7 linked regions of the Cricetulus griseus genome follow. The protein of the gene in region 2 purifies or fractionates together with the protein of the main gene of each other region. This does not show direct contact. Links are inferred from orthologs where the notes say so. Each region holds a gene or a part of one and is shown on either strand. Other genes may lie near its edges. The genes, in order: Prmt1, Csnk2a2, Zc3h18, Eif3j, Efcab14, Pip4k2c and Tcof1.

The links.
Region 1: the proteins of Csnk2a2 (region 2) and Prmt1 purify together in Homo sapiens (affinity purification with mass spectrometry; 3 studies listed by BioGRID and IntAct, with this or other methods). This does not show direct contact. The link is inferred for Cricetulus griseus from reciprocal best matches to the Homo sapiens genes CSNK2A2 and PRMT1.
Region 3: the proteins of Csnk2a2 (region 2) and Zc3h18 purify together in Homo sapiens (affinity purification with mass spectrometry; 3 studies listed by BioGRID and IntAct, with this or other methods). This does not show direct contact. The link is inferred for Cricetulus griseus from reciprocal best matches to the Homo sapiens genes CSNK2A2 and ZC3H18.
Region 4: the proteins of Csnk2a2 (region 2) and Eif3j purify together in Homo sapiens (affinity purification with mass spectrometry; 5 studies listed by BioGRID and IntAct, counting the BioPlex papers as one, with this or other methods). This does not show direct contact. The link is inferred for Cricetulus griseus from reciprocal best matches to the Homo sapiens genes CSNK2A2 and EIF3J.
Region 5: the proteins of Csnk2a2 (region 2) and Efcab14 purify together in Homo sapiens (affinity purification with mass spectrometry; 4 studies listed by BioGRID and IntAct, with this or other methods). This does not show direct contact. The link is inferred for Cricetulus griseus from reciprocal best matches to the Homo sapiens genes CSNK2A2 and EFCAB14.
Region 6: the proteins of Csnk2a2 (region 2) and Pip4k2c purify together in Homo sapiens (affinity purification with mass spectrometry; 3 studies listed by BioGRID and IntAct, with this or other methods). This does not show direct contact. The link is inferred for Cricetulus griseus from reciprocal best matches to the Homo sapiens genes CSNK2A2 and PIP4K2C.
Region 7: the proteins of Csnk2a2 (region 2) and Tcof1 purify together in Homo sapiens (affinity purification with mass spectrometry; 3 studies listed by BioGRID and IntAct, with this or other methods). This does not show direct contact. The link is inferred for Cricetulus griseus from reciprocal best matches to the Homo sapiens genes CSNK2A2 and TCOF1.

Annotation. Positions count from the first base shown.
Region 1 is NC_048599.1:153,870,344-153,874,888, forward strand, and holds the start of Prmt1 (protein arginine N-methyltransferase 1), read right to left. Parts: upstream 2,895-4,545; 5' UTR 2,824-2,894; coding exon 2,788-2,823; intron 560-2,787; coding exon 506-559; intron 301-505; exon of another isoform or gene 201-300; coding exon of another isoform or gene 198-200; intron 14-197; coding exon 1-13. UniProt on the Homo sapiens protein: Arginine methyltransferase that methylates (mono and asymmetric dimethylation) the guanidino nitrogens of arginyl residues present in proteins such as ESR1, histone H2, H3 and H4, FMR1, ILF3, HNRNPA1, HNRNPD, NFATC2IP, SUPT5H, TAF15, EWS, HABP4, SERBP1, RBM15, FOXO1, CHTOP, MAP3K5/ASK1, MICU1 and NPRL2.
Region 2 is NC_048596.1:171,671,836-171,676,360, forward strand, and holds the start of Csnk2a2 (casein kinase II subunit alpha'), read right to left. Parts: upstream 2,980-4,525; coding exon 2,876-2,979; intron 2,222-2,875; coding exon 2,110-2,221; intron 1-2,109.
Region 3 is NC_048596.1:199,022,638-199,027,210, reverse strand, and holds the start of Zc3h18 (zinc finger CCCH domain-containing protein 18), read right to left. Parts: upstream 3,122-4,573; 5' UTR 2,980-3,121; intron 2,119-2,979; exon of another isoform or gene 2,053-2,118; intron 1-2,052.
Region 4 is NC_048599.1:56,393,147-56,396,295, reverse strand, and holds part of Eif3j (eukaryotic translation initiation factor 3 subunit J), read left to right. Parts: intron 1-2,548; coding exon 2,549-2,710; intron 2,711-3,149. UniProt on the Homo sapiens protein: Component of the eukaryotic translation initiation factor 3 (eIF-3) complex, which is required for several steps in the initiation of protein synthesis.
Region 5 is NC_048595.1:36,568,113-36,571,983, reverse strand, and holds part of Efcab14 (EF-hand calcium-binding domain-containing protein 14), read left to right. Parts: intron 1-535; coding exon 536-727; intron 728-3,871.
Region 6 is NW_023276806.1:130,514,584-130,518,454, forward strand, and holds part of Pip4k2c (phosphatidylinositol 5-phosphate 4-kinase type-2 gamma), read left to right. Parts: intron 1-1,608; coding exon 1,609-1,755; intron 1,756-1,937; coding exon 1,938-1,976; intron 1,977-2,530; coding exon 2,531-2,644; intron 2,645-3,030; coding exon 3,031-3,298; intron 3,299-3,463; coding exon 3,464-3,567; intron 3,568-3,684; coding exon 3,685-3,765; 3' UTR 3,766-3,871. UniProt on the Homo sapiens protein: Phosphatidylinositol 5-phosphate 4-kinase with low enzymatic activity. May be a GTP sensor, has higher GTP-dependent kinase activity than ATP-dependent kinase activity. PIP4Ks negatively regulate insulin signaling through a catalytic-independent mechanism.
Region 7 is NC_048595.1:178,248,304-178,252,907, reverse strand, and holds the start of Tcof1 (treacle protein), read right to left. Parts: upstream 3,034-4,604; 5' UTR 2,950-3,033; coding exon 2,842-2,949; intron 953-2,841; coding exon 897-952; intron 1-896.

The sequences.
Region 1 (4,545 bases), on a different chromosome or scaffold from region 2:
GAGCACAGGAAACCTGAAAGAGGGGGAGTAGCAAAAGGGTCACAGGTGGGCTCTTCAGAGGTTCCTCAACCTGCAAGAAGGCCCCTCTTCAGAATGGGACAGCCCTACAGCCCCCTCCGGCATCTTTCTTCCCAAGGGACGGTATCCACTTCAGAACCCACCCAGAGCACCATCCAGGGAGCAGCCGCCTCGCCTACCATCTCTCCAGGCTCTATGCCCGTCTCTAGCTCAGCCCACAGCTGGGGAGGGAGGGAAGGGAGGGCAGAGCCAGGGCAGACACATTGAAAGCCAGAGGAGGAGGGCTGGAGATGGAGTTAAGGAAGCAGCCATGGTTCTGGGGGAGCCAGCTTGGGCCAGGAAGGGGTCTGTCCTATGTGTTTAGGGGCCACAGCAGGGGAAACTGGTTTGAAGCAAGAGGATGAATAGACCTCCTGAGGAGCCAGGTGCATATCAAAGTATGCTTATATGCAAGTGGGCTGGGGGGGTCTCACAAAAGGATATTTACTTCTTCAAGAGGCGGCTGGAGGCTCATCCCATTAGCCAAGGTGGCTACAAAATTCTAGGAGAGAGTAACAGGGAAAAAGGGTTAGCTACTGGGGTGGCTGGGGAAGGCCTTTGGGGCAGTGAGTGTTTTGCAGGTTGGCTTTTCCTGGGCATGGGAGTGGTGTAAGCAGGAGCAAGCAGTGTGGCTGCAGTTGTGTAAGGAAGGGATACAAGTGGGGAGGGAAAGGAAGGTGGGGTCTCCTGTCCCAGCTGTTGGCTGAAGAGATGGTGGCCCGCCCCATGTTGTCCCTCTCTGGTCAGATAACTGGCCACACATACCTACCCTATCTAGGCCAGAGGGCCCAATACCTGCCAAGGCACATGGGCACTTTCAGCTGTTGCTCCCCTTCACTACCTAATCCCCCCTAGATTAGGTGACATTTCCTGACAGACACACCAGGCTGAAGTGCCATGAATAAACCGGAGGGGGCTGACAGGTAATGGGTGCTGGGCACCTGTCTGCCCCATCACAATCCTGTCTCCTGGCCAAAGATCATTCCAATAGAGAAATGTGGCATACCCCCACACCACAGTGAGTACACCACCCCAGCTCCACCCGGGCAAGGAACACACAGAGCAAGGCTCTTTGTTTTACCTGCCCCCGGAAGAGGGCTGCCCCCCAGGAGTACAAAATATGCCTTGGAAAGCTGGGGCAAGCTGTTACGATAAATATTTCTGCCAAAATCCGCCTGAGCCCCACCGCCACGTGTGAGCTTACGAAAGCCCCCCCTTTCACACCCCACCTTGGTCCCCACACTGAAAACTGCCCTCTTTTTCCTTTGTCCACAAGTGCCAGGCCCAGGGTCACTTCAGTGACACTGTAGGCGAACTGATCCCCATGGCAGGTGTCCCAGCAACTGACCTTCCTCTCCAGAGAACTTGAAGAGGTATGGGTACCACCAGATTATATCCCATCATTATCCCATTAGATAGATGACTGCTATCTAAGGCCAGAGAGGCCACGATCTACCACCTCAGGGGTCGGGTAGCCAGTGGGGGGAGTTCCCATGTGGGCCTCTCTTTTTCAGTAGTACAGATACCAGCAGGTTAACAACTGACTGAAGAGGGTTTGTTCTGTTTCTGGCTTTTTTTTTTTTTTTTTTTTTTGAGACAGGGTTTCTCTGTGTAGCTTTGAAGCCTGTCCTGGAACTTGTTCTAATGGGCCTTGAACACACAAAGATCCGCCTGTCTCTGCCTCCCGAGTCCTGGGATTAAAGGCATGCACCACCACACGGCTTCCTGAAGAGGGTTTGAAACCTGAGACTAGGAGAGGATCTGATTTACAGGCCTAGTAGTGAAGTCTTTCACGAGAGCTACCCGGAAGGCTTAAGCAAAGATGGCAAGTTCAAGGCCAGCCTGGGCTACAGGGTGAGTTCAAGGCCAGACCCACTTTGCATCAAAGTTAGTAAAAAGTGGACTGAGGAATACAGCTCAGGGGTGGAAACACTCAACTGTAAGCAAATAAGCCAGGTGCTAGAATTTGATTCTGTTTTGGGGGGGAAATTAGGCAAAGGTGAGAATCCTAAAAAAGGGGTCGGGTGGGGGTCAAGGCCCCTTGGTCTGCGTGCCTACATAGCCATCCAGCCCCAAGACCGACCTCTGACCATCCACCCGAGGGCGCTTCCATGAGGGGGTGGGCTTTGGGCCACGCCCCATGAAAAAGAGCCCCTTTCACAAGCCCATAATGACCACGAGGGGGTGCCCGGCGCCGGATCCGGATCTCCTCGGTGGAGATGCCCCACCATCCTCTAACAGAGAGGTCACAGGGCTCTGCCCATCCCCCCCCAACCGCACAGGGGTAACTCAGAGTGGAGGAAAGTGAGGTCAGGCCCCACGAGGGTGCACGGATGTCCACCACCCAGCGGACAGCAGGACGCAGGTGGCACCCCCCAGGACCCCCGGAGTGCAGCCCAGGTCACCGGGCCGGGGGCGGGGCCTTTGTCCCGCACGTGGAACCCGCGGGGCCCCTCGAGTGGCACACCCCCCTCCCCACGCTACGCTGCGCGACCACGTGCGGCCCGGCTGGACGCGCCCCCGGCCCGCGACCACGTGCGACGGCCCTCGACTCGACTGCGGGGTCCGAGAGTCCCATAAGCTGGGGTCGCCCCGGTCACGATTGAACACATCCCCCGATGCGGACCTCCGCGAGGCCCAGCACACCCAAGGCCCCGTCTCCACAGTTCAGGCCGTGGGTAACCCGTCGTCCTCCCCCTACCCACTGGCCTAAAGAGCCCAGCTACTCACCTCCATGATGCAGTTCGCGGCCTCGGCTGCCGCCATCTTCACCCGAGTCCTCCGGCCTCCGAGACCCCCCCCTTTCTTCTCTCTCCCCCCGGCCGGGGACCGCCTTTTACCAGAGGGTCCACCGCCCGGCCCCCGAGACCCCGCCATAAGTTTCCAATGGCTGGCGCAGCCGTCAATCTAACCGCCTCGCACTGCAATTGGGCGCTGAGCACGTCTATCAAAATTCGGGCGCCCTCCCCTCCTAGCGTTCAAAGGACCACCCCCTCCTGTCGGCTAGGAAGGGAACAACTGTCTGTCTATCTTAGGCAGCGCATGTGATGATTGGAGGATATCCCACCAGGTCTTCCCGCCTCCTTCCGGCCAGCTCCGCCTTGAAGCTTCCCGGCGGGCTCCGCGCTAAGCGGATGTCGAGAGACTCTGCTGTGGATCATTAAGATGGCCCGCCTCTCCGTCGCCGCAATTAGCTGAGCAAAACGTGACGTTGCAGGGCTCTTGTTCCAGTCCCTTCGAGAGACTGGCCAAGAACGACAGGGACCATTGGCCCACAAGGAGGTAGGCGGGGCTTTGGGCGGAAGCGATTGGCTCCCAGGAACATCAGTCATCAACGTTCGGTGGCTTCTCCGGAACTGGGGCGCGTGGGCGAGCTAGGGGAAAATGCCGAGTCGCTGTGAGTAGATGTGGAGGCGTTCTCATCAGGGGTCCTGAAACTTGTCAGGAGTCGTAGTGAATGTCAGTGCGATGAGCCATAACCTTGTACTGGACTGTGCCGAGTTCTGAAGACCTGTGGCCTCCTAGTCCTTTGCATGAAACACCCATCTCCCTTTGTTTGGCCAACTCCCACGCGGCAATTTGGACTCCATCTCCTCCAGGAAGTTTCCCTGGATCTGCAGAAAGTTACTCCTGGCCTGAAGATGGATGCCAATTGCTGGGTTTGTGCCCCTGCCTCTTACCTTTTGTCCCACCAGTACTCGGCCCAAGCACAGGGTCCTTTAAGTTCCCAAATGTGCCTCTCCACTCCAGGCCTCCTCGTGCTCAGATGACCTTCTTCCTTCCGACTCCTAACACTGTTTAGTGTGCGTGTGCGTGCGTGTGTCAAGTCTTGAGCGGCAAGCACTGCACCATCTGCTGCACACGTAAGGTATCTGGTGTGAGGCAGAGTCTCATGGTACAGCCTGCCTTTGTCTCCAAAGTGCTGGGATTTAAGGCTTGTGTAAACTTCTTCCAGCCAGTATGATTTTTCTTTTTGTTTTTTCGAGACAGAATTTCTCTGGCTGTCCTGGAACTCGGAGATCCTCCTGTCTCTGCCTCCCAAGCGCTGAGATTAAAAGTGTGCGCTACCATTGCCTGGTTCAGTATGATTTCTTGATTGACTCCTGCCTATCCTGCTACTTCATCCCAAATATCAATAGCCTCTGGGCTTTTCCCTCCAATTCCCTCCGTCAGTTTTGTCAATCCCCAAGGCCTTCAGCCCTAGTGCTCCCACCTGCCAATCCCTGCAGCTCATCTCTGCCTATGGCCTTTTTGGGCCTCCCTGCACCCCCAGGACAATGTCTCAATCCTTAAACTACCTCCATTCCCGCTTTACAGTTCCACCCTAGTTACCTGCGGCTCTTGCCACCTTTATGCTTCCATGCCATTTCTCATGGTACAAGGGATCGAACTTGGTTTTCTTTCAGGACAAGAGATTTTATCTACAGCTAGTGACTATAGGGCATTCTGACTTCTACCCAGCCACTCTGACAAGATATTTTAATGACC
Region 2 (4,525 bases):
TGAAAAATTATACTCTGAATCCATTATAACAACAAAACTACAATATTAGTGGTTTCTTACTCTAACCTTCAAATAGGAATAAAACCCACAGAGAAATGCCATAGGGTTTTGACAAAGGAGTGTAAGGTGGTTCAGGCTGCCCTCTGAGAAAAAACAAACACCTCATGAACTAGGGCATTAAAATCTCATGCTCAAACCCTGGAACATACTCTGTTCAATGCTAAGATCCCATAATCCAATGCTGAAAGGAAGAGCCAGAGGCATGAAGAAATAGGAAAGAATTCTGGTGAAGAGCCTTGTGATATCAGATACATTTCTTTGTGTCTAGGTCTACAATTTATAAAAATAATCTGACACAGCTTCCATACTGGACTCAGTAAATATATGTGAAGCCTCTTTAGAGCAAAAACTATCAAGCAACTAACCTCTGAAATTCTTCACAAGAACAACTGAAGAGCAAATAGTACTATGCTTCCCCAAACAAATATACTGGGATTCATACACATTCCCCAATGCTGTTTCCTTTAAAGCACACCACAGAAAACTGCACTTCTTCTAAAAACACAGGCATTTAGACATTTCTCTGGAATTGTCTTAGATTTGGCAACTCAATCCTCCAAATGTGCACCAAGGAATTCAGATATTCCTAACCACAATTTGTTTTGTTTAGTCCTTAAAATTAAAATGTCTGAAGTAAATTTAAAACACTTATGTTTGCCGGGCAATGGTGGCACACGGCTTTGATCCTAGCACTCGGGAGGCAGAGGCAGAGGCAGAGGCAGAGGCAGAGGCAGGTGGATCTCTGAGTTCGAGACCAGCCTGGTCTACAAGAACTAGTTCCAGGACAGCCTCCAAAGCCAGAGAAACCCTGTTTCGAAAAACAAAAAAACAAAATAACAAGCAAACAAACAAACAAAACCCCACTTATGTTTATGTACATAATGAAATTATATGGTTTCCAGCAAGTTTCTTGAAGGAAACATTTCTCTGCTTAACCTCCCCCCCCCCATCACCAATAAACTACAGACCTTCCATGTACAACTCATTTAGTGGGGCCAAGCTGCTGATCTTAACAGCACCTCTTATTTCTTACCCAGGGTCTTAACAGCAGAGACAAAACCACCTGTTTCTGCAGCAATTCTGCTCTTTTATCATTAGGCTAGGATGATAAAGAGCAAAAGCAGCAGTCGCTTTCCTGAAAGATGATTTAGAGAATGCTAAAATCGACACAACAACTAAATGGGAGCACAAGCTTTTCATTTCTGTCCCACATTTTTTGTTGTACAGAACCTCCACTGGGCCACTGTGAAAATCGGGTTCATGTGAAGTACTACTGCTCTCCAGTGTTCTCAGTTTTTCACTAGGAACACACATAGGTGATCTAAGATGAAGAACCGTCCAGATCCCCAGGTGGCATTCATGTACATTAAATGATCTGACAACACAAAGAACGGCTTAGGTCCTATGGACCACCTTCCTGAGTATCCATTGGGGGAGTTGCTTGGCATTCTAGGCTTTAAACTGATCTCTGAAAAGACTCATTTTTTGACAACTTACTTTCTGGAGTAATTCAGAGCACAGAATAACAAGTTCAACGATGCTGGGTGGCGGTGGCGCAAGCCTTTAATCCCAGCACTCAGGAGGCAGAGGCAGATGGATCTTTGAGTTCAAGGCCAGCCTGGTCTACAGATGGAGTTCCAGGACAGCCAGGGCTGTTACACAAAGAAACCCTGTCTCAAAAAACAAACAAACAAAAAACCCAACCCAAACAAACAAAACAAGTTCAATGATGAAGGTACCCTACACTACCAGATTCGCCTACACAAAATCTTTTCTTGTGAATACCTATTTATTCTGTATCATATACATCCCCTCTCACAAGTTGTCTGAGAAGTCCACATTTTACACTTTAAATGTTCCTGACCTATCAAACTCAAGAGTTCAGACTAGTCTGCACATTTCCTCAAAAGTTTAGAGGAAAATGGTAGGAGTGCTGCAGGGCCAGCCACCCTCCAGGAGATATACAAGAGCTTCAATTGCTCATCCTAGAATAGCTGTTCCTTTTGCCCTGTGGGAGAAAATGTTACATACCACTCATAGGACACTCACCTTCAGAATTTTTACAACCACCCTCTCATTGTTGGTGATGTTAATGGCCTCAAATACTTCACTATACTTGCCCCGACCAAGTTTTCGAACCAGTTGGTAATCATCTTGATTACTGTGAAAGGCAAGAGACACACATAAATGCCAGGATTTGAGATTAAGCAAGCCTATGTCCAGCCACTTCCATTAATCAAGCATTTGGAGGTGCCGAAACTTACACATCAACTCGTTCCCTAAAGGAAAGCCATACAGAAGCTTGGCTCCCTTCACTCTGCAGAGCTCCTAACCTAATTGACTCCTCCTAACCTGTGGAGAAAGGGCAGCCACCGGGCCTTGTGGCCTACGTTAAAGGCACCGAGCAAAGCATCCACCTTGGTGGTACTGGTGTGGCCCCCTGCCTGCGGCTCCACAGCACTCGCCTCCCATTTCACACCCGCCGGGGAGCCACTGAATCTGCACATCTTCAAAAATGTTCCTCCCACCCAGCCTCATTTCAGAAAAGTAAAAAGGTAGAGATTTTAACAGCTCAAGAGGACAGCCATGGACTTCCCATCCCATAGGAACCCTAAGGCCAGAGGAGGAAGGGCTGCCCCCACCCCGACCCCACGTTTCTCCCCACCGGCTGCTGAGCCAGGGGCCGGGGCCGGAGCCGGGCGGACAGGGGAGGCCGGGGACACGTGCGGTCGGGGCCGGGCCTCCCTGCCAGCCCCGAGGCCGAGCGGCCGGCCGGGTGCGGTTCGCGCGAGGGGGCGGCTGGCGGCGGCTTTACCCCCAGCTCGGGACGTGGGCTTCGTAGTCCCAGTACTCGCGGCTCCTCAGGCTGTTCACCTCGGCGTAGACCCGGGCCCGACTGCCCGCGGCCGGGCCGGGCATGGCGGGCGGGACCGGGGGGCGCCGCGGGGCGCCGAGGGCGGCGGCGCGGCACGGGGCGCCGGGTGGCAGGCGCAGTAGGTGGCGGGCCGCGGGCCGCCCCGAACAGGAGGAGGAGCGCGGCGGCGGCGGCGGCGGGTGTCCGCGCCAGGCCGGGCCCGCGGGGGCGGCGGACGGACGCTCGGCTTGGGGGCGCGGCCGAGCCGGCCCGGGCCTGCGGCGGCCGGCCGGACGACGGGGCTCGTGCTCCGCGGCGCCTCCGCTCGGCTCGCGGCCCCTAGAGGCGGCGGCGGTGGCAGCGGCAGCGGCAGCCACCGGCCGGGAGAGGGGCAGCGGCGGCGACGGCGCCGAAGAGGGAGGAGGAGGAGGCGGAGGAAACCCGGAAAAGGGCCGCGCTCGCCAGGAGCGGCCGCGCCCAGCCCCGGCCCGCCCCGGCCCACAGCGCCCCCTGCAGCGCTGGGGGACCGTGGCCGTCTCCCGCCCCCGCAGCGACCGCGCCACCCGCCAAGCAGTTTGGTCATCTGCAGGTCCACCTGTAGGTCACCGCCCAGGAGCCTTCGTCCCCGACTGGCGCCCTTTTCAGCACAGTTGAATAGTCCAGCCACCTCATGTCCACCCACCACGACCTCCCATACTGTCCCTGATCTGACCTTCCTGTCACCTAACTGCTGCCACTCTCAGTGACTTGCCTATAAACCCAAGAACCCTCACCTCAAATTGTTTCCCTTCCTCACTCCACTTCGCCCTTTGGACCCCACCTACCATTCACAGACCCCCTCAGTCCCAATACTTACTATTCCCTCTATGCAGAATCTGCCTGGTCCTCGACCTACCGTTTCCTCCTAATTCCCCTCCAGATTCCCCCCGAGAGCCCACTGAGTCATCTCTTGGGTCACTTGGTTAAACTAGAGTCAGCCAGGTGGTTTCCCTGTAAAGTTACTGTTTTCTCCCTTTCATTGAACTTGTAATTTGTGGGAAATACTTTGAGATGGTAAATATCCATTTTTTGTTGGGGAGGGGGAAGGGAGAACTAGCCTGGAAGGAGAGGCTAATGCTTGGGCATGGCTAAGGACTAGGTAGGCATACAAGCCTCGAATACTCTGCTCTTTGATCTTCTCGGGTCCCTGGCTGTCTTGCTTTCCTGTCCATATTCTTTATCAACAAGAATATCCTCACCCAGTTCAGGTGAGTCTAAACTTTTTTCACCATTGTCTAGATGAGACTGTTTCCTCTTCATATAGCTAACTACCCAAGTTCAAGTCCCAGTTCTGTAGCTCCCAACTGATGTGGATTTAAGGCAATGACCCAACATCTCTGAGCTTCAGATTTTGTAGCATACACCCAACACTTACTTCACAGAGTTTTGTAGATCATTAAACTATGTAAAACAATCGGGACCGTTCAATAATAAGGCACTACATGCCACACTGTTTATTTGGGTTTTTGGTTGGTTGTTTTTAGGGACAGGGTTTCTCTGTGTAGCCCTGGTTGTCTTGGAACTCACTCTGTAGAACTCAGAAGATCTCTGCCTGCCTCTGTCTCCTGAGTG
Region 3 (4,573 bases), about 27 Mb from region 2:
AGGCCTCCCACCATGCCCGGCAGGATCTTAAATTTCCAAAAGCCTGAGTGTTAACATTTTGGTCCCTAGGGATACACTACTAAGAGATACAGGAATCTTGGTATAGGAATTTTTAACAGGTAAGGCCTAGTAGTCAGGTCTTCTTTGCTCTCCAGTATTCAATGAGAGGTTAAGCGCCTTTGTTCTATCACTGGTCACTACCTTACTAACTGAACATGGTCTAGATTCTACAATATACCAAACTGAGAGCCAAAATATACCTTTTCTTGCCACCCCCTTTTTCTTTCTTTTTGAGATAGGATTTCTCTATGTATCCCTGGCTGTCTGGAACTCTTTTTGTAGACCAGCTTGTCCTAAAACTCACAGAGATCTGCCTCCCTGTCTCTTGATTGTTGTGATTAAAGGTGTGTGCCACTACATCAACTTAAATCTTTTCTCTGTATGAGTTCATCACCTCATGCATTGTCATAGTGATGGAAAACATATATTCTTCCCAATCCTGCAGAGTGAGAAAGGATAAGAGGCTCTCACAGGGCTGGCATTCAGCAGCCTATACACCACACACTGTACTATACGGCTGGGACACTTCTGAGACTACAGCGGCCATGATTAGCATCCACAGGATGCATGATCAGGGCTGCCATGGTGCAGAGTTACATTGCAGAGGCCCTGAAAGATTTTCTGAGAAAAGGCACTGCACTGTTCTTCCTTCCCATGGGACCTCCTAGGATTGTACTACTGGAGGCCACATTCAGGTTAACATGTTTCAGGGACAACTACAAATCTGTGTGTTTTTTGAAAAACCACTCTAAATCATACCTTTAGAGCAAGAATCATACAGGGAATCAGGAGATGGCTTGATTTCCAGCCCTGCTCTAGGAAGGCTCACTGTCTCTCTAGGTGCCAGTGTTCTGAGACAAATATTGTGTGTTACCCTATGCTGGATGAAGGGAACTATATGCCCTATCAAGTGTAAACAATTAATTGAGGGTCCTTCAGTCCAACTCAATACACTTCCATGTTTACAATCTTTGACCAACCCATCTTAGCCAATCACTCAGTAATGTGGGACTCTCACAAGTTTTAGAGCTAATCTTTAGTCCTCCAATCCAAAGTGGTGAACCTGTTCAGTGGGTGGAATGACTCAAGTCTTTCACTGTTTCTTTCCCCTACTGCACTTGACATACCTGAAAAATACTTGTTAAATAATTGACAAAAATCTCATTAAGCAAAGAACTACCTGTTGCATACTAAAAACAAAAAAGTTGCCTAATTTGTAAAACACTAGAACCAGAGCTCCAGAGCCTGTCCTCTGCTCTTGTCTCAGCAGCAGCTCTGGGAGGCCAAACTGACTTCAACCACACCACTAACGGCAGAATAGTAACAACACATTCTCCTCAAAGTTGGGTCACTGAGGAACTGCTACAAACTACTTAAGAGCCTGGCCTAGCTAGGCACTGGTGGCCGACACCTTTAATCCCAGCGCTTGGGAGGCAGAGGCAGAGGCAGGTGGATCTCTGAGACCAGCCTGGCCTACAAGAGCTAGTTTCAGGACAGCCTCCAAAGCCAGAGGGGTGTGTGGCTATTAAAATGAAACCAATTAATTCACATGCTTACTACTGAGACAGGTGTTTCAAGTGGACTTCAGCAAAGGTGGATCAATAACAAGCACAACTTCTGGGAAACTGCTTTCTCTTTTGAGACAAAGTCTCATTATGTAGTCCTGGCACTATGTATACTCGGTCAGCCTCCAGAGATCCTCTTGCCCTTGCTTCCCAAAGGCTGGGATTAAAGTTGTGGTATACCTTGCCCAGCTGTGGGAAACTACTTTTAGCAGAGCAGATCCTATGTTGATGTCTAAGTTCTATTATACCTGTTTAAAATCCTCATTCATCGTTTCAGTGTATACAGCAAGAATGTCAGGATTGTTGATAAGCACAATTCCAAATTGACTTAAGCTCAACCAAAAACTCTTTGATAAGGAGTAGTCACCTTGAGATGGTGTGTAAATGACAAGATAGCTCTTTAAAAATGAGCAAGGCAAGAGCTTACCTGTTGAGTGTTCTGAAGTAAATCCACAAAGTTCTCTTAAAATGTTTTAGTATTCCCCACCTACAACTGGAGAGAAGGTTCAGGCTTTGGGACATATTGAACTGGTTCCAGAACTGGCTGGGCTTCATAAGTGCTCAGATCAAACACATTCTCCTCTCAGGGGCTGGGAAATGGAAATTAGCCTAGGGGTTGAGAATCTCCAACCCCTGCCTTGGGATAGGTAATGTGGAGATGAACCAGATGCTCTCTTTCATTATCCCCAAATGGATCTGAAGAATTACCTACTCTTGCAAGTAAGTGCTAAACAGAACTCATTTAAAGCTACTATTGTGTCCGGTAAGCTCAGCTGTCAATGTACACGGGGAAAACTAAATTTCCAGCAGTAGCGAGACTTAAGTCTTAGTTTCTTTCCAGCACTACAATTGTTTGGCTACTTTACGCCAAAGACTCGGTGTCTCTGAGCTCACAGTCCAAAAGGTGAGGAGGTTATACTTCCTAAGAGATCGGACCTCTCGGGGCACCTGTGCACACTTGAAGTTGCGAGAGCATGTTGTTGCAGGAGGCTCCAGAGAGCTCAAAGTTCCCCGTAGAGCCCGTCGACAGTCCAGGCGAGCCTCCTCCCCAGCCAACCTGCGTGCTTCACTCCCCTTTGTAGGCGGCGAACATGTGCCACGCCGAGTGGCCCGGAAGAGAAATGACAGCTTCAGAAAACCAACTTCACCATGGCAGACCGCGGCGCGCTAAAGTCGCCAGGACGTCCCAGGCCGCAGCGGGCTCGCGCCTGCCCGCTGTCCCGGGCCGCGCTTCGACCCGCGGCTGCGCACAGCCGGGGGCGCGCCCGAGCTCGGGAGGCGGCGCCGGGCTCCCGGGCCTCGCTCCCGCCGCCGCTTGGCGGCCTCCTTCTTACCACCCGCCGGCCCCGCTTACCTCAGCGCGAGGACGGGAGGCGGCCACGGCTCCGCTGAGATGGGAGCAGCGTGGACAAGACGTTCCTCGACCTTTCCGCTTCTCACTGACTCTGGCTTCAGGCACGACGCGGGCGGAACAAACGGGCTCCACTACCCGCGGGGGCCGGCCATTGTGCGACGTCATCAGGCCGCGACGGCCGTACTGCGGGCCGGCGGGCTTCCCTCGCTAGCCCCGCCCTCCTCGCGCTTCCTTCCGGACTCTTGAGGCCCCTCCTCCGTGGCGCGCGCTCACAAGTCTCCGCTTCTGCGCACGCCCACCGAGGCCGGCCGGCTTTCTAGCGAGCCATCTAGCGGCGCGTGCGCAGAGTCTCTGGATTTCTGGTGGTAGCTTCCCGGGATGGGGAAAGGCTGGCAGCGGGCGGATCGTGACCCCCGGTAGGGAAAGTCCTTTGTAGCTCTTGGTCTGCGCGTGTGGACACCCCAGTGCCTAAAAACTTGGGATAGGTCTTTGCCAGGCGAGAATCTCCTGTCTTATTAAATGTCAATGCTTGACCAAAAGTATTTTGGAGACTGGAGTGTAGCTCTGAAGTAGAGACAGCTCCAGGTCCTGGTCCTCGCCTCCCGCTCCCCCCCCCAAGGAATATTTGGAGATATTTGTAGAGTTAGAGTGGCGCTAAATATTCTTGATTTCGTTAAATATGATTACCATGACCCAGTGGAATCCCCCTGGGGAGGATTTAAGCCGTTGAAACGTTTTTTACAGTCCCCCCCCCCCCAGCAGTGCTCTGTTGCTGCTGCTGGCCTAAACCCCCTGATCGCTACTGACAAAGTGTGGCGCGGTCATTGGGTACTGGCCCCTTGAAAATTTTGGAACTGGTTTTGGGCTTACATGCTTGGGGGCTGCCTGTCTTCCTCGGACAACTTCAAGGAAAACAGCCCAGATGCCCATAGCTGTTCCATTTTTACAGAGGAACATTAATTCAGCCACAGAAAGCAATGGTCTGACACATGCTATAAGCACAGAGATGCTATAAGAACCCTTAAATGGTGCTCAAGAAAAGCCTAGTCATGAAACCCAAGTGGCTGAGTACCTGTGAGGGATTTTTCTTGATTGAATCATTTGAAGTGGTTAGACCCACCTTTAATCTGGATCTTTTAAGGTGAGAAGATCCACCTTTAATCTGGGCCACACCTTTTGGTGGCAGCCTATGTAAAAGACATGGAGGAAGGAAGCCCTTGCCTGCTTGCTCCTACTCTGGCAAGTTCATTTGTTCACTGGCATTAGGGCCTACTTCTTCAGGATTTCAATGAATACTGAAGACCAGTTGAGACATCTAACCTTGACTGAATCCAGCCCACTGGATTCTTGGACTTTCCGTTGTTGGTAGGCGGCCATTGTTGAATTAGCTGGGCCACAGCATGCATGCATATATAGATCCAGGTGGATTTTGAATTTCCCTCCTGTTCTCTATGCTCTCCACCCCACTTGTTGCCTGAATTAATACTAAATATCCCCCTTCTCACTCCTGGGGACTTTCTTATGCAGTCAGAGCCACATTTTATAACTCAGTTTCAGTCACTTCCCTGATGGCTCGAGATTCCTCCAGTGGCTT
Region 4 (3,149 bases), on a different chromosome or scaffold from region 2:
GTGTACTGTTGCCTAAACTAGTGAACTGGATAGATTCTGGTGTCTACAGCTTTTTAACTAAAATAGTGGACTGTCTTTGGGGACATCCTGTTCCCCTAAGTCTAAATAGGACTTGGGCAGAACATGTTAGTCCATGTAGAATATTCAGTTTTGGCTTTGCCTTGTGTTCGGAGTTGTTTCTTTTTCTTGGCCTTTATAGTACACCATCTTTCAGGGCCATCAGTTATCTTAACAGCTTAGGAAGTCAGGGCAGGAAGTAAAGCAAAAGCCATGGAGGATTGCTGCTTACTGGCCTGCTCTCAGTAAGTCTGCTTTCTTACAGTTCCCAGGATCACCTGCTCAGGAGTGGCACTGCCCACATCTAGCTGGGCTGTCCCACATAAATCAGAAATCAAGAAAATGGGCCATAGGCCAATCTGGTGGGGTCATTTTCTTTTCTTGGTTGAGGTTTCCACTAAACAAAGGACTTTAGTTTGTGTCGTGTTGATTTAAAAACTAGCCAGCTACCTAAGGAAGAGTTAAAAGACATAGTAGAGAAATCCAGAATACTTCATTTGTCAAATTTGTCATTACCCTGTGAAAAAATTCACCCAAGGCCTTCTCTAGAACACAAGAGACTTGCTTGTTCCCCTTTAGGAAAGTCTGACCATACTCTTCAGTGGGTCTCTAGCAATTTCAGCTGTGAATGTGGGTGTTCCTCTATTCATGGCAGCCCATGTGTGTTCAGAATAGAAAATCTCATGGGATACCAGTTACAAATTAAGAAGTGAAAAATGAAATAACACAGTCATTGTTTGGTTAGTAGGAATTTACTGTTTCTTGCACTTACAATGCTGAATCTGTAGTTTTGCTAGGTCATTTATTGACCTTGAAAAAGGTATATACATAATCATACTTTTCGCCTAGAATTCTTTTAGGCTAGATTTATTTTCTCTCGGTGTTTTTTTTTTTTTTTTTTTTTTTTTTCTTCTTCGAGACAGGGTTTCTCCGTGTAGCTTTGGAGCCTATACTGGCACTCGCTCTGGAGACCAGGCTGGCCTCGAACTCACAGAGATCCACCTGCCTCTGCCTCCCGAGTGCTGGGATTAAAGGCGTGCGCCACCACGTTTTTTTTAACACATGGTTACTTCTGTTTAATTTTTGGGGTTAGCTGGTTATTTTTATTGTATCCATCTTTTTTGTTATCCTTACCCATCTTTGCCCAAGGATGCCTTGGAAGCCAGAGGACAACTTGTGGAGTTGCTTCTCTCCTGCCATGGGAGTTCAGGGGATTGAATATAGGTGGTCACGCTTGGTGACAAATATCTTTACCTACTGAGCCTTCTCCCACTCTATCTCTTTTGTTTTTCTTGGACAGATCTTTTGAGAGCATCCTTTTTTGGACAGCTAGTAAATTCTGTGGGTCCTTTTTTAGTATGGCTTTTGTTTTTGAGACAGGGTCTCTGTGTAGCTCTGGCTGGTCTGGAACTCACTCTGTAGGCCAGGTTGGCTTAGAACTCACAGAGAAGCTTGCATCTACTTCTGAATGCTGGGATTAAAGGTGTTTTCTAACACTTTATTTTTAACAAAGGAAACCTGTTCAATTGAAACAGGAATCAAATCACAAAACAAATCCATGATAAAAGTAAAGATTTTTAGTTTCTAGTGCAGGGGATTGAACTCAGGTCTTCATACATGTTAGGCAAACACTACCTGAGCTACATTCCCAGCCCATATATAGTTTTATTAATTTGGTTGTTGGTTGTTTTGTTTCTTTTTTGAGATGGGTTTTTGCCAGGCTGGCCTTGAATTCTCCATCCTCCCAAGCTGGGAGTATGAATGTTCATAACTACTCAACTTCATGTGTTTTGTTTTGTCTTTTCAAGATAGGGTTTCTCTGTGTAACAGCTCTGGCTGTCCTGGAACTCATAGAGATCCACCTGCCTCTGCCTCCCCAGTGCTGGGATCACAGGCATGCGCCATCAACGCCAGGCCGCCAGGTGCTTTTTAATAGTAGTGCTTGACAGTACTGATCAGACAGTGGTGGGGATATCTGCTCCAGCTGCAGTGTACTCCGAAGGGTTTTTTTTAAATGTTTTTGCCTAAAATTAAAATAGGCGAAAATGCTGAATTGGAGGCTAGTAAAATTCAAGATAGATTTTTTTCTTTTCTTGTTAAAAAGCTCAGTAGTTTGTAAAGTTTCCTAGCGATGGAATGGTGGCTCAGTGGGTATTAAGCCTGATAACCTGAGTTTGATACCCCAGGGCACATATTGATGGAAGGAGTGAAAGTTTATCCTCTGATTTACACATGCAGGTCATGGTGGCATGTGCACACACAATATGACAGTTTGTTTAAAGTCCTGCTTTAGAATAAAACTGATTTTGATAGCAACTTGGTTAATGAACTTTAAGGTTTTTGTTACAGAGAGGGTTGTGTTGAAGTCAGAAGACAGTTTTGTTGTGTAATCATCTTTACATGGGTAAAGCTCTTCTTACCCAGAGAGCCATTCTAGCCCCTATTGATGAAAATGATTGTCTTCTAATGCTTCAGCTCTTTTCTCCTGCAGGTGTTAATAATACAGGTTATGGAATAGATGCTATGAACCCATCTTCAAGAGATGACTTCACAGAATTTGGAAAATTACTAAAAGATAAAATTACGCAATATGAAAAATCACTATATTATGCCAGTTTTTTGGAAGCCTTAGTTCGAGATGTCTGTATTTCATGTAAGTGATGCTGATTTCTGCCCCCTTTGTTAAGACTATATTCTTAACATACTTGGGAAACTTTTTTTGTTGTTACTGTTTGTTTTGTTTTTCTATAGCTTTAATGCTATAATACAGACTTGGGATTTCCTTTTTTAGCAAATATCTCCAGTTTGAATATTTGGGGATGGCTACTTTCATTGTTTTATATAGTAGCTTCTCACAGAGATAGCAGTCTTATGCCATACAAAACAGGTCACAACACTAGGTAACCCTTTTATCCAATAATCTCCTAAAGGCCTACACAGTATCTTTAGAGGGAATGCATTAGGGGCTTCTCAGGTTTAGAGCTCAGTAAGACCCTCAGAAATTGATTTTACAAATGGAGTCTGAGATACTGTCTAAATTGCCCGACAGAACTGGCTCCCTTATGCTAGGATGCTACACCAATGTGATTATT
Region 5 (3,871 bases), on a different chromosome or scaffold from region 2:
AGAATTTCTGTCCTGAGTTTAATGCCCTTTAAAACCTATGGTAATTATTCCTTTTTAAGTAGCAATCAGTACTAGAAGATGTCAATAAAAATAATTGAATCTTGTACTAAATAATGCACTACTTGCTGTGCTTTTGTTACACAAGCCAATTCAGTAATTGGTATTGTTCCTAAGGTAGTTTTGTTCTGACCAATTAAGTTAATGGGACTTCAGTTAATAACCCAATGTGCTCTCCTGCCAGCAAGTGAGGTAAACACTTTGGGGAAATTAATTCCCAAACTCACTGCTTTGAGTGGGAGCTTGCAGACAGTTCTCTTCTTTACCCTCCTGTCTAGCTGAGGCCAAACAATTCAAGAGAGGGCAAATTGGGACCAGTTTAAAGAAAGAAGAGCAAAGCAGATCTAGGCAGTTGGAGATTGCTGCCAAGAAAAGTACCTTACCTTGTTGACATAATAATGGTTGCTGCATTTCTCCTATCCTACTTGTCTAGTTGCAGTATTTAGGTGGATGTCATAACTCATTGTTTCCACTCTAGGATATCCTGTACCTTCACAACTCCTTAGAGGAGATCAACAGTACTGTAGTGGGATACCAGAGACAGAGTAACCTTAAATTTGAGGGGATGAACGAGACACTCAGTAACCTGACACAGAGACTCAGCCTGATGGAAAGTGATGTGGCTGCACTGAACAAGGCAGAAAAAAGAGCAAACCTGACCTCCAGCAGGGTAAGCCTTTTCAGATCTGCTGTGGCATGCTCTATGTCGGTGTGTGTTGTCTGTACATAGATGTAATTCCCTCTCCTTATGTGAACAGTAGTCTGGCATACTTAAGAGGCTACACATTTGTTTTGTGCTTAACTTACTCCTGCTTAAATTTATATAGCAGTTCTCTGAAGTGCACAGGGTATGTGTGTTTGAAAGGGGTAAGATCAAGGATCAGTTTAAACACATCAACTCACTAGGACTTGTTGGCAGGAATAACAAGTCTCTTACAATGTTGCCAGTGTTTATGTTTTTCCAAAGGAGGTCTTTTTTCCTTTCCTTTCCCTTTCATTTCCTTTCTTTTCTTTCCTTTTCTTTTTCCCCCTTAAGGTATTAGAAGTGGTAAGAGCAGCAGATACAACAATCTTGTGCAATTTTTTAAACCCTGAGCTTGGCTTTCAGATTCATCCTGCTCCTGTCTGCATATTAAAGGAAACCTTTTGCATATAATGTTAGGGAAACCATCTAAAACAGATGAAGTTGCTTCTATAAATAAACCCTAGTGAAACCAATAGGGTTACACAGAATCTGAAAGGAGAAGGGGGAGTCCATGGGAAGGAGGAGATTAGCAGGAGTGGGAGGAATACAGAAGGGTTAATGGGGGAGTGGGTGGAGGTGATTATGATAAATATGTTATGTACATGGATAAAAATATAATGAAACCCATTATGATGTATAACTAATATTTTCTAGTAAAAACACTTGTAAAAAGATGAAATCAGGCCAGGTGGTGATGGTGGCACATGCTTGCTAGCTCTGAGGGTCACTGGTTTCATGATCTCGTGAACAGAGTCTGTTTGTTTTTAACCACATTTCATCTATACATCCTGGTGGGATTCATGTGGATCATTTTGTTAACAGTGATAGGTCTCACTTTTAAAGGTTCAATAGAGCAAAAACGTGGTACAGTTTTTGATGGAAACCAAATTCAGGAAACCACACTGTAAATTCAAGTAAAAGCTAGAAGCTAACCCACACATAAAATTGAACCCTGACACATGGTAAGGAATGCTTGAGCTGGCTCTGCCACAGTGAACTTTTGGCAAGCTGCCTAAATATGGCTTTGAAAGGTGGGGTTAAAAGACCTGTCCCCCTCTGACTGGCCCTCCTGCTTTACAAGAGTGTGTAATTTACTACAAAGCTGTGAAGATTAAAGGAGCCCTAGTTTTTAAAGCCCTTTTGAACTCAGCTAAGCTAAGTAGGAGCTGAGAACGTTGAATGATTTGATGAATAATGTGCCTTGAAGGGTTTTCAAGGCTTATTGTGAAAACTTACCACCCCAAGCCCCTTGCAGTCTCTGCCATCCCCTTCTTATTTCTATCCAGCAAAGAGAATTGGTAATAGTATCCATCTGTCTTACTATTTCTTCCAATAGCCTCAGACTGAGCCTGGATCTGGGGAGAAGCCTCTATTCCCACTTCCTGTTTCCTTGTGCCCGTCTCCATTCTCTGTCTCTCCCACTCCTTTGCCATTTGTGTTTAAAGTGTTCAGATCCTTTCAATAATTTGACCAATTTGTTTAAGAAGTTGTAAGTGTCAGAGTTGGAGAGATGGCTCAGTTAGTAAAGTGCCTGCCACACAACATGAAGACCTGTGTTCAGATCCCCAGTATCCACATAAAAGCTGGACACAGTGGCCTGAATCTGAAACCCATTAGTGCTGGGAGTAAACAGAGACAAATTCCTGGAGCTCATTGGCCAGCCAGCCTAGTCGAAATGCCAAGCTTCAGGTTCAGTGAGAAAGCCTGTCCTAAAAAGAAAAAGGTGAAGAATGATTGATGATTGTCAGCCTCTGCCTACACATACATACATACATACACACGCGCGCGCGCGCGCGCGCACACGCATGAGCGTGTATAAACACATATGTAAAACACACAAAAGTATTTCCTGTCATCCAAGTTTTAATGTTTTAACCTTTTCCTCTGTTTTCTTTACCCTCTAAGATGGGAATAGGGCTTCCACTCTGAAAAGAGAGTCTTTGGTTAACAACAGAGCTACTACTGTAAAGGCCCAGGGCATAGTGGTAAACAGGAGGCTTCTGTAAAGTAAACAGATGCATCAGCATCTCCACACTGTTCGCTCTAAGAGGAGCACTTTGATCTCTTGTGACAAACTCCAAGGCAGAGCAATTTGTAAGTTAGGGTACTAGTGAGTGAGTGAATATCACACCAGGTACCTACCTTGTGCTCATCACTTTACCAGGAGCCACGATGGCCACAGTGAATGACACAGATACATGACCCCTATTGTGGTATAGCTCACAAAGCTGGACAGATACTTAATCACAAGTCTGGTAAGTACTACAGTGGGAAAGCATAGGGATCAGGTGGGCTTTCCTAGTTTTTAAGCTAAAACAGTTACTGTCCCAGTCTGCTTTTGTTGCTGTGACCATGACCAAAAGCAACACAGGGAGGAAGGCTTATTACATCATATGAGTTACAGTCCATTATCAAGGAAAGCCAAAGCGGGAGCTTGAAGCAGAAACTATGGAGGAATGCCACTTACTGGCTTGTTTTCTCTGGCTTTCTCAGCTTCTTTTCTTATACAACTCAGGCCCACCAGCCTACGGATTTCACCACCCTCAGTGGGCTGGACTCTGTCTCCTACATCAGTTAACAATTAAGAAAATGCCCCATACACATGTCCACAGAGCAGTCTAATGGAGGCAGTTCCTCAACTGGGGTTCCTTCTCCTCAGGTAACTCTAGTTTGTGTCTAGTTGACAAAAATTATTTAGCACAAATATCTAAACTAATGATAGGGGACAGGGGCATAATTTAAAACTGGTGTCCAGCTTAAAAATCATTTTGCATTTAGATTGCATTCTCAAGACTTTCATAGTCCTTTTTAAGTCCTGCTGAGATAAAGGGAAAGCCAGGAAGAGGTGACAGAGTGACTATAGCTTCATCTGAGGTGCACACAGTGTTTGAGTTCAGAGGATATGAGGTTCATAGTAGATGAACTTGGCTGAAACCATAGTGTAGAAGCTTTTGATATAAAGCTTTCTATCTTTACTTTTTCATCCTTAGCAATTTTAGCTTAGCAGTTTTATCCTTACCAATTGTCTAGATAAATTCATGTATATTTAAGATTTTGATGCATTATAAG
Region 6 (3,871 bases), on a different chromosome or scaffold from region 2:
TAGATAGATAGATAGATAGATAGAATAGTAAAATAAGATACAAACTTTAAGGGGCAAGGAAAGTGCCCATGAAGGAGACTCAGTGTGACTGGTAGTTTGAATTATTAATGCCCCGAGTACGTCTATAAAGGATAAGGGATAGGAGGACACCAGAGGTGAGCATAGTGGGTGAAAGGAGAGATTGTCGGAAGGGTCAAGTGCACAGTTGAAATAATTCAGTGACTATAGTCCCTACTGGATTTGACAACTGAGGAGTTATGGGCTTCAGATTTCAGTGATTTAGGGAATTTCCACGAATAAGGGCTTATTTATTACTTTTACTTATTTATTTTTTTGGTAAAAATATGTGTACAAGTGTTTTGCTTGCATATGTGTGCTTGGTGCCCTTGGAGGCCAGAATAGTATATCATCAGACCACCTGAAACTGGAGTTACAGGAACTGTGATCCACAGTGTGGGTGCTGGGAATTGCACCCAGGTCTTCTTGAAGAGCCATCTCGCCACTCCAAGTGTTTAAGGTCAGCTTTACTTGGGGCCAGGCTAGTGACATCTGACTTGACTTAGAAAACAAAATGATACTGGGCTAGAGAGATGGCTCAGTGGGGAAGAGCACTTCCTGTTCACTCAGAAGACCTGAGTTAGGGTAATGTCAAGTGATTCACAGCTGTCTGTAACTCTAGTTCCAAGGGATGCTCTGGCCTCCTGGGGTGTTCCCACAGACACATAAATAAAAAAATAAGGCATATAGTAGTGCCTTCCTTTAATCTCAGCATCTTTGTGTTCAAGGCAGATCTCTGAGTTTGAGGCCACCTTGGTCTACAGAAAGAGTTCCAGGACAGCCAGGAGAAACCCTATTTCAAAATAATAATAATAATAATAATAATAATAATAATAATAATAATAATTCAAATCTTTATTTTAAAAAAAACACAAAACAATCCAAATTAATTATAGGTCTCCTTGTAGACATTTATACTACAGAACCTACCCCACCAAGAAATAATCATTTTGCCAGGTGTTGGTGGCACACGCCTTTAATCCCAGCACTCGGGAGGCAGAGGCAGGCAGATCTCGATGAGTTTGAGACCAGCCTGGTCTACAAGAGCTAGTTCTAGGACAGCCTCCAAAGTCACAGAGAAACCCTGTCTCAAAAAAACAAAAAATAAAAAATAAAAAAAGAAACAATCATTTCATTGATAAGTAAATCTAAGTTTAACCCTGGTTCTGTGACTTTATTTACACAGTGCCTAAGGTAAGAATAATAATAGCTGCCTTCCTTATCTTGAAAAGTGATAAAGGTAGCTCATTCCTATAATCTTAACACTTAGAAGCTAGAGACAGAGATCAGAGTTGAAGACCCACCCCAGCCATATGAGACTTAGTGTCAAACAAATGAATGACAGAGGTGAGAAAAGGTACTTTAAAATTAGGAGATGGAGAAGCTGGGTGACCAGGAGCATTTTTAGGGACCGGCCACCTCTTGGCTTTGCATCCTCTGCTTGTGGGTTCTTTCCGGACTCTGGAGCAGCAGTGCTTGGATTGCTGTTCCTGGGCTGTTTGCTTACCCTGCCACCCTTTCCTTATTCCTTCCTCTCATTTTCTTCCCTAGTACATAGTGAAGTGTCATGGTAACACGCTTCTGCCCCAATTCCTGGGCATGTACCGAGTCAGTGTAGAAAATGAAGACAGTTACATGCTCGTCATGAGAAATATGTTTAGTCATCGTCTTCCTGTGCATAGGAAGTATGACCTCAAGGTAAGAGCAGGGTGACCTGGGCTAAAGGGAGGGCTACTTCTGGCCTGCGTGTTGAGGAAGGCTTGGGAGGGCACTGGTGACTGCTGTTAAAGGAGAGGTGTAGATTTGATTGTTCATCTTTGGAACTGGGCTTCTGGCTGGCCCTGTTATTTCTTCTGACTTAGTCTTTGGTCTCTCCACAGGGTTCTCTAGTGTCCCGGGAAGCCAGCGATAAGGAAAAGGTAATATTCCTTGTAGGTGATGCTGTGAGGGATGGCGGGGCGGGGTGTGTGTGCAGGTGCAGGAGTGTTGGCAAAGGGATTTCTAGGAATAAAGAAGCAGTTCTGCATAATGGATACAGATTGCAGCTGTTTATTCTTACCTTAAACCACTAGAAAGAAAAGAGATTAAAAAAAATGAAAAAAAACCTACTGGTCTGTGTGAGCAGCAGGGGTGACTGTTAGCATTGTTGTTAGCACTGGTTATTCTGTGTTGAAGGTTTGGGAAAGGTGGGAATGCCAGGTATGAAGAGCAGAATGCTCGTTTTTCATATCGCATTCTGAGCTCTTGCGTTCAAGTAGCTGTTTTCACTGAAGAAGGAGGAAGAAGTCAGTATGGAGGGTATTGACTGCAGTCCATAAGCAGGTAGTGTGGGTGTCATATGAAATGCAACTGACGAGTCCAGGCCCAAAGCAACTGTAAGACTGCTGCTCTCTTCAACGCCTCTGAGGTAGAGAGAGGCCTGGACGGAGGCAGGGTTCTCTGAGGCTTTGGGTAAGGGTGATTCCAACTGTAGGTTAAAGAGCTGCCTACGCTTAAGGATATGGACTTCCTCAACAAGAACCAGAAAGTATATATTGGTGAAGAAGAAAAGAAAATATTTCTGGAGAAGCTGAAGCGAGATGTGGAGGTAATGATTGGGTGCCCAGAGTGCCTTGTATAATAAAAGAAGTGTCTATTTTGTTTTTAAAATTTTTTTGCTTTTTGCCTTCCATTTGTGGTACAAAAATTTTCTTGCCTTTATTTTTGGGGTTTGCTGAGTGGAAGGTTGGGGGTGAAACAGGAGAAACCCCCATTGGTGGGGTGAGGTAGGGAGTGGGATGGGCACTGGCTAGGAGGAGTGAGAGCGTGCTGTCAGATTCCAGGACTCGGGCACTAATTCCTGGGAATACTTTGACCTCGGTTTATATGTTCCTTTCCCCCAGGAGGGCCCAAAAACTCAAGGAAGGAGGCATATGGGTGGAAGCTGGAGCTGGGTGGGAGACCTGGGGTCTCTGATTTGTCAGTGGGTCTCAGTTCCTAGTGCAGCTGAAGATCATGGACTACAGTCTTCTGCTGGGCATCCACGACATCATCCGGGGCTCTGAGCCGGAGGAAGAGGGGCCCGTGCGGGAGGACGAGTCAGAGTGGGATGGGGACTGTAACCTGGCTGGACCTCCTGCTCTGGTGGGCTCCTATGGCACCTCCCCTGAGGGCATTGGAGGCTACATTCATTCCCACCGGCCCCTGGGCCCAGGAGAGTTTGAGTCCTTCATCGATGTCTATGCCATCCGGAGTGCTGAGGGTGAGAGAGAACCTGGAAATGTTAAGGGGGGGTGGGCATCCTTGGGGGACAGAGACCAGGGTGGTGGATGGAGAAGCTGATTAGCTTGTCACAACAAAACTGACTCCAGGGGGAAAGAATTGGGACTGTGTGTACCCTGTCCTCATTGTCAGTCTCTCTCCCCAGGGGCCCCCCAGAAGGAGGTATATTTTATGGGCCTCATTGACATTCTGACACAGTATGATGCCAAGAAGAAAGCAGCTCATGCAGCGAAAACCGTCAAGCATGGGGTGAGTTCCCAAAGCCTTTCCCTTCTTAGCCTGACCCTCTGGAAAGAGAGCACTGGGTGCCTAAGGGAAGGAAGGGGCTAAGGCTCCTCACACATTGTCCCGTGTCCCTTCTCACAGGCGGGAGCAGAGATCTCTACTGTCCATCCTGAGCAGTACGCTAAGCGATTCTTGGATTTCATTGCCAACATCTTTGCCTAAGAGCCTGCCTGACTCCGTGGTGATTGCTGCTTTATGTTGAAGGTGGTGGGTTCTGAGAGTCTTAGGGGAACTGGATGTGGCCACTACTTCTCTTCCTTGCTAAATT
Region 7 (4,604 bases), on a different chromosome or scaffold from region 2:
CCCTGTCTCAAAAAACAGAAACCGGGGCTGGAGAGATGGCTCGGAGGTTAAGAGTACTGAATACTCTTCCAGAGGACCTGAGTTCAATTCCCAGCAACCACATGGTAGCTCATGACCATTTGTAATGACATCTGGTACTCTCTTCTGGTGTTCAGGCATACATGGAGGCAGAATGTTATATACATAATAAATAAAATCTTCTTAAAAAAAAAAAAAAACAACCCAAAACCGAAAAAGCCAAAAACCAAACAATCCAAAACAAAAAAAAAGGAAACCATCTGTTCCAATTCTTTTCTGTGACAGGATCTCACTATGTAGACCAGGTTGGCCTTGAACCTAGAGATCCTCTTGCCTCTGCCTTGAGATTAAAGGTCAGTGCCACCACAAGCTTTTTTTTCTTTGGGGGGGGGGGTCGAGACAGAGTTTCTCTGTGGCTTTGGAGGCTGTCCTGGAACTAGCTCTTGTAGACCAGGCTGGTCTCAAACTCAAAGAGATCCATCTGCCTCTGCCTCCCGAGTGCTAGGATTAAAGATGTGGGCTGCTACCACCACCTGGCTCAAGCTTTTATTCTTAAGAGATCCATCTTTCACTGGGTGTGGTCGGACACTCCTTTAGTGCCAGAACTGGAGGCCAGCTTGGTCTACAGAGTGAGATCCTGTCTCAAAAACAAAACAGCAACAACAAAAACAGATGGGCTCCAACTCAGAATGTCTCCCCCTGTGATAAGCTACACACAGAGATTACCCATATATATGATATAACCTGCCTTTTGAAGGTGACAAGTGTCCACAGTGGGCTATTGGATCATATCTTAGACCACATTAGTATATTACCTTGTGGCAAAGATGATCAGTTATGGTAACCCTGTTCTATCCCTTCCATTCCACCAGACTTACTGTTGCCAGTGTGTATAGATGTCCAGAAGGGTGGTGGGCTGAGTCAGGAAACTCTTCTGTAGAGAAATAATAATAGAAAGCTCCAATAAGTACGCAGTCTACTCTGTAGACCAGGCTGTCCTTTAACTCAGAGATCTGCCTGCCTCTGCCTCCTGAGTGTTGGGATTACAAATCAAAGGCATGCACCATCACTGCCTGGCTGGTTCAAGGGTTTCAGTTAAAACAGAGGAAAACAGGTACCAGGCCTAGGCCGAGGATACACTGTGTAGAAATCAAGACTGAACAGCCAAGTGCTCTAATGAGTCAAAAGAGACACACGTAGAGGGGAAAAAAAAAAAAAAAAAAAAAAAAAAAAAACCAAGCCAGCACCCAAACAGATTGGCCTAGAGTCTGGAAGAGCTCCTACTCACTGGATAACTCATCTCTTATCTCTGCAAACTCCAGGATACTTCTTTACAGCTCAGTAAACATAAGATGGAAAGGGCTGCTGTCAGTCTGAAGGGCCCTATCTAGTCAATTTGATTCTGCGCTAACTCAGGCATAGTGTCATAATAAATAAGTTGGACCACCAGTTCCTAACAGGGCTTTGTCATTCCTGTTACTGTTCTCCTTCTTGCCAACCACACAGCTCAACTCTCCACTTCTTCCTAGTCTCTACTCCAATGTCATCTTCGCCATAAGACTTCTCTGACCACCTTAGCTGTAACTGGAGTCTGACATTCCATATCTTCCTTGCTTCCCCTCACTGTGGCCAGCACCTGCCACAATCTAGACAGGCTAATCTACAAGCTTATTTTTATGTATCTGCTCTGTGAGAAGAGGTACTCTTGCTTGGGCACACAAACCATGATGATGGGCACTATGTCCTGCTTCCCCTATCTGTTAGGGCATCAAGGTCCAGGAAGGTCAGGAAAACCACATATAACATCCTAAAGCCCAGCAGCCTTCGGTTTTGAGTTCGTTTGTTTCTGAGACAAGTTCTCACAACTTAGCCCTGGGCTGGCCTTGAATCCATTATGCAGACTAGGCTAGCCGTGAGTTCACAACATATCCACCAGTTATTATATATCTCACCAGTGATTACCACTGCTCTTCTGGGAAGATTACCCATGGATCATTCCAGCCTCCATCTCTTTGGGAGACTCCATAGTCATGGATTTCAAACTTCAGGTACAGCAAACTTTCTGGAGGCTAGAACACTCAGAAGCTCCATTCCAACTTCAGGGCATCAGCACCTATAACTACCCATCTCCCTTGAGCTCTCCAAACCAACTACTACACCCTCAGAGAAGCAGTCCTGGGTATTCCCCACCCAGATTCTGCCAGCCATGTTTTAACATCTCAAATCTCCCATTCTACAGCTTAATACAATGTTAACCGTACAGAACACTTGTGATACTTTTGTGAGATGAGCAGGGAGGCCTGAGACTGGCGGTCCCCATTTCGTCATCTGCACCCCAGGGTCAAACTAAAAGTTGCCAAGTGGAAGAATTACTGCACCATGAGTTTGAGTCTTGTTATAACCGAAGACAGTCAAGGGCCTGCACGCCCTGCATTCCAGATCATCAACTAAGGGGGCCTTCCTCTCCGTGTTCCAAACAAGGATGATGACAATCCACCCCGAGACCAGCGACTAGCAGGGTGCCCTAGGAAAACTGCATAGAGCCACGTGGCCTGAAACTAGGGAAACTTAAACCTGCGGCTACCGGGAACCGGGGCGGGAATTACAAAGCTGCATGCCTCGGATCAGAGGTTCCGGCCCGCCCACTGCACCGACGAGGAAACTGAACCCCGGGAGGCGGCTGGAAGTCGCAGGGGTTAGAGTAGACCTTAATGCTCCTCCTGCACCCCTGGTCCCGCATCTCGGACCCGCGCTGGCCGGGTCTCCAGGGAGGGGCGCGGGCTACTGCTCTCTAGGTCTTGCACTTGGCCCTCCGACGCTTACCTGGCCGCTCTGTTCCTTCACTTCCCTCGCCGCGCGGACGTAGCCAGCCTGCAGCAGGTGATGGTAGATGAGGGGAAGCAGCTCCCGCCGCTTCCTGGCCTCGGCCATGCCAGAGATCCGGCCAGCCTATTCACGTGCACGCCCCCTAGCCCCCCGCCAGCCTCTTCCCTCGTGCCCTAGGACCTCATGCTCCTCACTTCCGGCTTTGCGTCACCTAGCCGTGTGGCGCACTGGGAAATGTAGTCTTGCAGCTGGAGTGGGCCATACCGTCCGAGAGGGCGGAGCCACGAAGGCTAATCATCTCTGCCATTGGTTTGGAGGCGTGGCCTGATTTCGACCCGCCCTCGGGACGGCCATGATGGAAAGGGCTCCTTCATCTTAATTCTGGTTTACTTTTTTTTTTTTTTTTTTTTTTTTTTTTGGTTTTTCGAGACACGGTCTCTCTCTGTAACAGTCCTAGTTGTTCCCTAGCTGTCCTGGAACTCACTTTGTCGGTCAGACTGGCCTCGAATTCACTGAGATCCGCCTGCCTCTGCCTCCCAAGTGCTGGGATTAAAGGCGTGTGCCACCACTGCCCTTGAAGGGCTTTATTGACCTGGTCTTAACGATAGGGCATCTTTATTCATCTTCGAACTTTCTGATCACTGGCCCCAGCTTCCAATTACTCATTATTTCATACAGTATTTAGGTCCAGGCATCAGTTGTCATTAGTGTGTTGAATCACTACATAAATCCTTACCCAAACCCTATATGTTAGGTTAGCACCCAGCTAGGCTGAGGACATGTAACGAGAAACAAAACAAGCAGTTGACTTCAAAGATCACCCAGGCTGGAGATACAGTTGACAATTACAGTTCAAGAGAAGGCAGAGCCCATGGAAGCATGGAGGAGGGGCACCTAACCCAAAGAGACTTACATACATTTAGATTCAAAGACAGGAGACCGCCTCCCACACCTCAGGTAAGGTTTCTTTGGGTAGTCCTTGCTGTCTTGGAACTCGATCTGTAGACCAGGCTGTCATCGAAACCGCAGAGATTTCCCCTGCCTCTGCCTTCTGTGTGCTGAGATTACAGGCTTGCATCACCACCGCCCAGCAACAGCAGAAACGGAAACTTTTGAGCACCGAAGAGAGGACAGGCTGGAGGTACTGCACGAGTCAGAATGTGTGAATCAACTTGTTGTTTAGTAAGGGAACCCCAAACTCTGTACTGCTAGGCTGGAGAGTTGTGAAAAAGAGAGTCCAGAATACTGGAAGCAAGCTTATAGTACCTTTTTCCCAACAGAGTTCTGACATGCTGCAAAGAGAATATAAAACCAGGGGCTGGCAGTGGACCATGCCTTTAATCCTAGCACTCAGGAGGCAGATCTGGCCAGCCTGGTCTACAGAGCAAGTTCCAGGACAGCCAGGTTTACACAGAGAAACCCTGCTACAAACAAATAAACAAAGAACTCCAATGTGGGCTGCTGTGTTTGATGAGGGGACACTGACAGGAAAGAATGGGAGTGGCCTGGGGCATATTTGAGGCCGCTGTTAATTTCATGGACAGGTTAGAAATCTACTGGTAGCTTTCACTCTAGGAATGTTATATCTGTCAATATACATTTTCATCCAAATTCTGGACTCACATATGATTAATCTTCAGGGGTGACTGGACTTTAGAATTACCTAAAAGATACTCCTATGGGTGTGTCTAATAAGGCCTGTCTGGGTAGGGCATCCAGACTGAAAGCCTAACCAAGGCCTGCCTGCATTTTTTTTCTTT